Lytechinus pictus: one gene and its partner. The protein of the gene in region 1 binds, or shares a complex with, the protein of each later gene. Links are inferred from orthologs where the notes say so. Each region holds a gene or a part of one and is shown on either strand. Other genes may lie near its edges.

Region 1 (3,927 bases):
CAAGTACAGCCCTAAATAAAAAGCCTCAAAAGGCAAAAAAAACCAGTGCTTTAATTACTGTGCTACCTTCTTGAGGCTATCAATTTAATATTCCTTTCTAATTGAAGGGTCGTGTGGGATGGGACTTGCAGATTAATTTGAAATAAGTCAAACTCTTTTTTCGGGGGGGGGGGTGGAAAATTGTTTACTTATTAGAGAGTTTTCTTAAGGGATGATCTGTTCTCCATGTTTTTCTTTATTCAAAGACAAAAACAACAAATTCTTTGGTATTTTGCATTATAAAAGTAGAATGAAATCAAATGTAATTTTCTTACCAGGCACATTCTGCAAAGCTGAGTACAAATTTCCTTACTTCTATGGAATCATCAAACTGAAACTGAAGAACTTCCTGCACAGATAAAAAAAAAATCTTTCATTATTTCAGTTTTAACACACAAAGCGTGTCACTATCATCAAGTTTATGTCTACCACTTCCCCTTCCACCTTCATTTTTGCTCCTACCAAGCAAGTATCACATATTCACATGCTATTTATGAAATCATATATACAGACACATAAGAGTATAATTTATTCACCTTTAAAATGACATCATTGTCATGGCAAACCTCTGTTTAGTTAGCCAAGATATATTTCTGGTGAGATGACAAAGCATATGTTATATAACTTCACATAATATAGAAAAAAACTGAAAAAGCCTCACAAAAATGACTTTTTTTTTAAGGTCAAGTTTGAAACACATGGCCGGATAGAAACATTTGGTAATGTTTGGAAAGAACAAAGGAATCTTACATCAAGAAAATTATCAAGTAGAGAAGGATCCTTGTCAATAATAAGTTGCTGGACTTGGGTCAAGTTGTTGATCTTCTGAGAATCCCTGGGTAAAGTGTGGGTTTGTTGCAGCAAGTCAACAACCTGTAGACAAGGGAGAAAAAACACACAAAAACCCCTTTACTCAACATGTACATAATTAATATGTCCAAACATGACAAATAATGTGTCTGGATAAACATAGCAATTTTAAGAAATATATTTAAAAAAAAAATTATAATTCAAAATTATTTAATCATAGTTGTCAACACTGATGGTTGTCAATATATTTGTGGTGGTGATTAAGAATCTAATGAGCATGACTCAATAAGAGTGGTTTCCCAAATTGAAATAGATCTACATGTAGGATGGGGGTTGTGTATCCGGACACTTTAAATCTTTGAAGTCTTGGGGGGGGGGGCTTTGGATTACAAAAAAATATGAATTTAATAGTTTTAAACTTCTTCAGTTTTGTTCTCAATAATATTGCCTAATCGTTTATAGTTAGGCCTACACTTAAAATTGATGAAACTTTTCTTGTTAACTTTCTCAAATGACTGTTTAAAATCAATTGTCCGAACACACAACCTATCGGGACACACACACACCAACTTGGTATACCAGTACATGAAAGAGCACACAAGGCAATATTTTCACTTTTTTAAATCACAGAAGATATAGGCCTAACTGAATGATCATTTGCTTTACATTATGTTTCTTCAGTTACATGTATGTAGCCCTGCAGCGAGAGTGTAGTCAGCGGATTAAATAAGGGGGTTTGATACCTTCCCTTCTCCTTTTTTTCTCCCATATTTTCTCTTGCTTTTGAATTTTGACAATTAGAACGAATCCCAGAACCCTTTCTGGATACACTGGCTTGAAATATAGTCAACCATGACAGGAGTGTTACCCCTTTTGTTTACACAAATAAGAACAAATTAATAAAACAAATTAGGGCCTAGTCTCACTCTCTATAATTATAAACACATAAAAAAGGGGGGGGAGTAACATCTTTACAAATCCAATGTGACAATGTCACAATTGTTTACGACACCATGATGATGATACTAATAATGTAGTGGAGTGACTAGTGTTAGAACGAGGCATCATACATGAGCAATTCATGAAATTGGATTCTAAAGCCAAAAGGGGGAGGCTAGTCTCGAAAGGCTATGTTGAGCGCTAGACACGGCCCATGCCACAGGATCCCTGGCTTTGAAATAGGCCATTTTATCAACATATTTTTTTTTAAATCTGAGTCTTCTGACATGACTCGTTTTGATTGGCCGAGGATCAACAGCTAGTAGTATGACCATGATGACATAGCCTAGGCCCTACGGCATAGTCTACTTTGTTGGATAAACAACCATCAAGTTCTTTAAGACTTTTGTGCTCTCTTGACTTTAGTTTACGTTCCCAAACTGTCCCAAGTTTTCAAACAAAATTGAGACAATGAGACTGATTGAGAATGAGAGAAAAAAAAGATTCACCCGATCGGATACGGTTTGTCCTTCTCCTCCATCATCATCGTCCATAAAAAATTGTGAAGCTACAGATAGCCTACTACTTCCGGCACTCATTTTTACTTTCACACGTACTGCAACAGTGAGATTACAAGAAGAATTACAGAGCAGACAAAATTCAGTTCATTTCACTCCAAACCCAGTGGCCGCCTGCCCTGCCTAGCCTGCGCATATGTATAATGCATGAAATATGCATGTGATGCATGCACAGTATACAGCCGGTATACCGGTATGGTATCTTTAAGAACATTTTCTTTGTAAAACCAACTCGGGGAAATCGCTCGCTTCGAACCTGAACCTCGTCCTCGGCCTTTGCCCATACCAGGAATCTCTTTTCCAGGAAAAAAAGGATCGAATGCAACTACCAGCTGATTTTTCCAGTCCGATTACATCACAACAGTGCATTGGGTGTAGTTTTGAAGCAACAATAATGACAAAACTTCCTATTTTCGGTCGTAAGTGTGGTATCATCGGCGTTAGTGCACTTTCGCATCAGTCACATCGTCCCCGACATCCGACCCAGCGGCAGCCGCGCCGGAAATCGGGCTGTGCCTGTGGAACACTGCTTGGTTTCGTCGGATGGTACGAAAGTGCATTAGCTATCATAATCTTTGGTTTAATAAGGTTTAGATCTCTGAAAAAAATATATATATTCTTTTTAAGTTGACTATATTTAGATCTATATTTTCATAAATTCTAAATGTCAATGAAATAAAAATAACAGTTAAATTGTGATTCAGATCAGGCCTTTCACTTTCAGGGTGACCAGATGATAGATCCGGGGGGGGGGGGGGGGGGGCACTCAGTATATAATGCATAGTGCCGTGGAGGGGACCCCCATTTTTACACTCAAATTTCTGTTCCAGGGCATGACATTTTTATCTTATCAGAGCTACCAAGTCTCAAACATTGTGCGTGAGACTCGCGCATCGAGGGTCCGTCTCACGCATGGCACCCATTTTTCTCACGCATCGGGACCCGACAGAAAAAGCCTTCGCATGCCGTCGCGTCTACCCCGGCACGTGAGACGAATCGAGAGTGCAGTCAGCGCACAGCTAGTACGTGATACGATGAATCGCGTGCGTGCATCGCATGGTTTTGTAGTATGGATCAATATCGTGATAAAGCCCATATCTCGCGAGTTGCGCGCGTGCCTTTTCGAAACGTACAAGTGTAAGTACTGGCTGCGCGCGTGCAGAGTCGCCGAGTCATGAAAATCTCACTTATAACATTTTTTTAAACTTGGCATCTCTGTCTTATTGAGAAAAAAAACTAAGAAAGTCGCTCCGAAGCGTAGCATTTTCTTCTTATCGAGAGAAAAGAAGAAAGAAATCCGCTCCAAAGCTTCGCATATTTTTTGTTACGCTGTTCCAGTAGCATTGATCCGCCACAATGAGCTGCAATTTTGGTGAAAAGCAGCCGCAGAGCGCTGTCCGACCATCGCCTCTGCGCGATCGCACCCGGCGGGCTGGGCTAGCTGCATACACGTATGCCTGTTCCAAAGGGATGCACACGCAGGCGACCCCAGGGTGACCAATTTTCACAAAATGAAATACGGGACAATCGACAAAGCACGCTGCACGAGCTGAATGACAGA
Region 2 (3,927 bases), on another chromosome or scaffold:
ATCCAAATAATAAAAAATATGGAAATATCAAGAGTTTTTTTTCTTTTAAAATGTTCTATTGAGACATATTTGATATGACTGAAAAGAAAATTAGCCATTTCAACAATTTTTTTTCTTGTTTTTCATGGTTTCATGAATTTCTTATGTATTTCTATTGTTTTTATTTTTTTCATATTGTTCCATTTTCACAGTTTTTTCACTTTGATTGTTTTCATCAATCAGTATTCATAACAAATTAGTCTTTAAACACTAAAGAAAAGGTAAATAATCACTTTTTAGAGCACTCTTGAAATTGGTTTTTCTCCATTCACTTCGTACACAAATCTCCCCATTGACATTGTGTGTAAATGTCCCATACGTAACATGTTGTCCCATACGTAACATTTTTTTAATTAAGTTTTGATTAAAAAGTAAACTTTATTTTTGAAACTTTTTGTGGTATAACAATTTCCTACTTGGACAAGACCTAATTTGCATATTTAATTAGATGACACCACTTTTTTCCCCAAAAAGTAATAAGATGTTATGGGGTCCATGTCCCACCTATGACTAAATCTTACAAGTTTTGGTTTGATTTTCTATGAGTTTTTATAATTGTCCCATACGTAACGCCCATTTTACCAATTATGCAAATTAGGTGCCCCACATTAGCATACATATGTATATTATCAAATTTTTCTTTATGAAATTTTAAAATTCAACATTTGGGCTTTCTTACCCCACCAAAGATAACTTCTTAAATTAAAGATGAAATTTTGCCTTCTAGGGTGACCTTTTCTTGGACTTGCCCTAAAATGTAGCAATATGCCTGCATATGGGTAGAAATTTAGAATAGTCACTTGCGTCACTGCATTTCCGCAAATGTGTATGATACGCCGTTTATCCAAAAAAAAAAAAGAGATGCAGAATTAACCTTTCCTGAACCATTTTTTGAAGCCTATATTGCAACCTAAGTCACTGTATATGTTGTAGATTTATATTTTAGGGTGATTTTTTTTTCTAATACACCCCAAATGCCTAAAAATTTGCGGTAGGTCTACCACAGTTGATATGTTGACTTTTAATTTCTTTGCAATTTCAATCAAGTTTATTCTGTGTTGGGGAGTGTGGGAGAACATGACCACTATTATGTCAATCTAAATTGCATATTCTTTTCTGCGAATTCGCGCACTCCGCTCGAAAGTTCTACGAAAGCACGTTGAAGTAAGATGTCTTCTCAACTATGGTCTTCGCTTTGGTCTAATGCATTTTTATTCTAGGGGGGATATAGAGGCAAAGAAAGGACAACAAAAATGATAAAAAGTTTGAACTAGATTCGATGAAACTATAAGGTATTTTATTAATATGAATTTGTCCACTTGGACTTTACACTTCCAACTGATGAATTGCTGATGTCTGGCACCTTCAAAGTAGGTCCCAGGCCAGGCAAATCATCATTTTTAGAAAATGAATCTGTCCAAAAACTTTTGACTCAACTCGTCTCACCTGCATCACCCAGTACAGTGGTCTCACCCAGTCTCTCTCGATCTTTATCTGTCAAGATAAATAGCGGTAAATCTGGTCAGAAAAATGCCTCTAAAAATTGCAGTTGTGTGCTCGAGTAATCAAAACAGGAGTATGGAAGCCCATGCCATATTGAGGTACAATTCAACCCTATATTCATGTTGCTTATCACATTTAGAGCATATGCAATTGTTTGTGCGGTGTGTGTGTGCTACCTCAGGCTCAGGTCTGGTCCCATTCATCCATATCTACGTTGTTTCCATGGTCTAGGCCCTCTATGGCCTAATTAAACGCGGGCTAACGTATTGTTGGGCCTTAATTTTGTTTAATTTAATATTAATAACTCAGCCCCAGGGAGGTCGGGCGCCTTTGCTCTGCAGCCTTAGCTACAGTGGCATAGCTCCCTGGGTTATGGACTTGAATAAAGTTTATACTTTTTATAGTAAGGCAAGGGCAAGCATAGGCATAGCCATATTTATGGGTAGGCCTAACCTATTTAGTAATAGTATAGGCCTAGGCCTATAGTATTTTTTAATGATCAATTCAGACTTGGTCAAGACTCAATTCATCTTTCAATTCAAGAGAACAAGTCAAACTCATTCAGTTTTTAACTACAGACTTATAGAGGATCTAAGGAACTCATCAAGTAAAGTTAGATCAATAGGGGTAAAAAAATACATTGTGCGATTTCCATTGATCAGTGCCAGTGGAGAAAACTGTCTCTGACAGTGACAGGCCTTGCTGCTGCTTGGGCTAAGACTAAGAGCACTCAGAGTCACCCTCTCCTATTCACAGTCATTTGTCTAGATCGATCTTGAGTGAAAAGCAAAAAGCTGATCAGTGTAACTGTAAGTTGATGTGTTGTCTTTTGTGTGTGTGTTTGCTTTTATCGTAAAGGGGAAGTTCATTTTAGTTATGATAACCGTAATATTTAATGCAGGAAAATTAGAGAAAAATATTGGTAACAGTATGATGAACATCTGTGAAGGATTTATGAAGTTTTCGGTTAAAGTTTTGATTTGAGACAAGCAGCTCCTCCATACATGTATGTCATGACACTCATGTGATATAGATTCATAATCAAATCTTTTCCATCTACCAACGCTAAATTATAATTTCTCAAGAACTACCATTTCTTATGCAGGACCTAAGTTTTGGAACAAATTACCACAAGAAATCAAAATATGCCCTACTTTGAATATGTTTTAAAGAAAACTAAAAAAATACCTAGTTGAAAATGAATCCTAGAATAAAGTTAACAAAATATTGCCTTGGTGGGAGGTTCCGGATGTTTGGTTGTCTCTTGTTATTTCATTTACACTTATATTTCTGAATTCCATGTGTGTCTATTTCTTTTTCTATTGTTTTGTGTTATATTTTGGTATATATTTAAGAAACATTTTATGTAAATTTTATTACCTTTGGGAATAACCCTGATAGGCCTTTGGCCTTTGTTAATTCCCACCACATTATGATTCCGAACTGAATATGTTTCATTTTAATGTTTTTTATTGTATATATCTATCTGCATATGAATTTGTACTTGTGTTTTTAATCAGATGTGGAAATAAATTTGAATTGAATAGAATTGAAAAATTGAATAATTTTAAAATGTTATTTTCTTCAAATTTGAAAGTGATTTTATTTTTGCGGCGGATATATATCAGACACATCAATATTACCCCTTCTATAAGAAATATGTTTTCACTCATCAAATTTCATTAGAAGTTAAGGAAATTATATTTCTACTCGCATATGACTTTAAAATTAAAAAAATCACAACCACTCTTACTTGATTGGGCTTTCATTAAACCTACTGATACATTTTTCCTCAAATTTTCCTTATATTAAAACCAACTTATTGTTAGGGTGTACTCTTCATTTAAGACTTAATTAGATCTACTTTTTTTTTCCAATTTTGACCAATAATGTAGTAATAGAATTAGTCGATAATAGAACAATATTTCCATTTATCCTTGTTTTGAATTACTGTGTAAATTTTTGCTCAAAAAGAAAAAAATACTTTGCATTGTATTTGTAACAAGGGTGTTGAGTGTCATTGCAGGCCTTCTCCGCAGTACATTTTCACACCATAGTACATTTTAGGAAATGTCCTGATGTGATATGCCATTTCTGTATGTTTCCCAATGCCATTTTTAACTATTTTTTACTTCTTTGCAGCAAGAAAGGCTTCAATGTGAAGTCGTATGGAACCGGTGCCACGGTGAAGCTGCCTGGTCCGGCTGCAGACAAGCCCAACATATATGACTTCAAGACGACATACGAGGAGATGTATCAGGATCTGAAACGCAAGGACCGTGATTTGTATCCTTAATGAATAGAATAATTTATGATGATAATGGTAACAATATTTTGATGCTATATTACCTAGGGTACCAACTTCAGTTGAAATTTTGGTCTATT

The links.
Region 2: the proteins of symplekin-like (region 1) and RNA polymerase II subunit A C-terminal domain phosphatase SSU72-like are in contact, whole or in part, in a crystal structure (PDB 4YGX), measured with the Drosophila melanogaster proteins. The link is inferred for Lytechinus pictus from reciprocal best matches to the Drosophila melanogaster genes Sym and Ssu72. Residues at the interface, in NP_649580.1 of Drosophila melanogaster: Glu91, Ala117, Lys121, Gln125, Gly128, Ser129, Glu169, Asn170, Asp171, Gly172, Thr175, Asn176, Lys179, Phe180, Arg198, Ser240, Ser241, Val242, Ile245, Ala246, Ser249, Thr281, Ser283, Gln284, Ser286, Ser287, Lys290, Met294, Gln295; in NP_001285455.1 of Drosophila melanogaster: Glu114, Tyr117, Asp118, Val121, Met122, Glu125, Glu128, Ser129, Val130, Asp131, Asn132, Arg133, Pro134, Asp168, Asp170, Asn171, Asp174, Gln178, Glu181, Val187, Ile188, Leu189, His190, Ser191, Val192, Phe194.

What each region holds. Positions count from the first base shown.
Region 1 is NC_087251.1:31,991,761-31,995,687, forward strand, and holds the start of symplekin-like, read right to left. Parts: upstream 2,925-3,927; 5' UTR 2,786-2,924; coding exon of another isoform or gene 2,686-2,785; 5' UTR 2,388-2,685; coding exon 2,298-2,387; intron 913-2,297; coding exon 790-912; intron 389-789; coding exon 315-388; intron 1-314. Other genes in the region: glyoxal reductase-like, read left to right, coding at 2,686-2,785. UniProt on the Drosophila melanogaster protein: Component of a protein complex required for cotranscriptional processing of 3'-ends of polyadenylated and histone pre-mRNA. Involved in germline stem cell transit amplification, differentiation and mitosis-to-meiosis transition.
Region 2 is NC_087258.1:7,694,685-7,698,611, reverse strand, and holds the start of RNA polymerase II subunit A C-terminal domain phosphatase SSU72-like, read left to right. Parts: upstream 1-1,169; 5' UTR 1,170-1,569; coding exon 1,570-1,640; intron 1,641-3,684; coding exon 3,685-3,828; intron 3,829-3,927.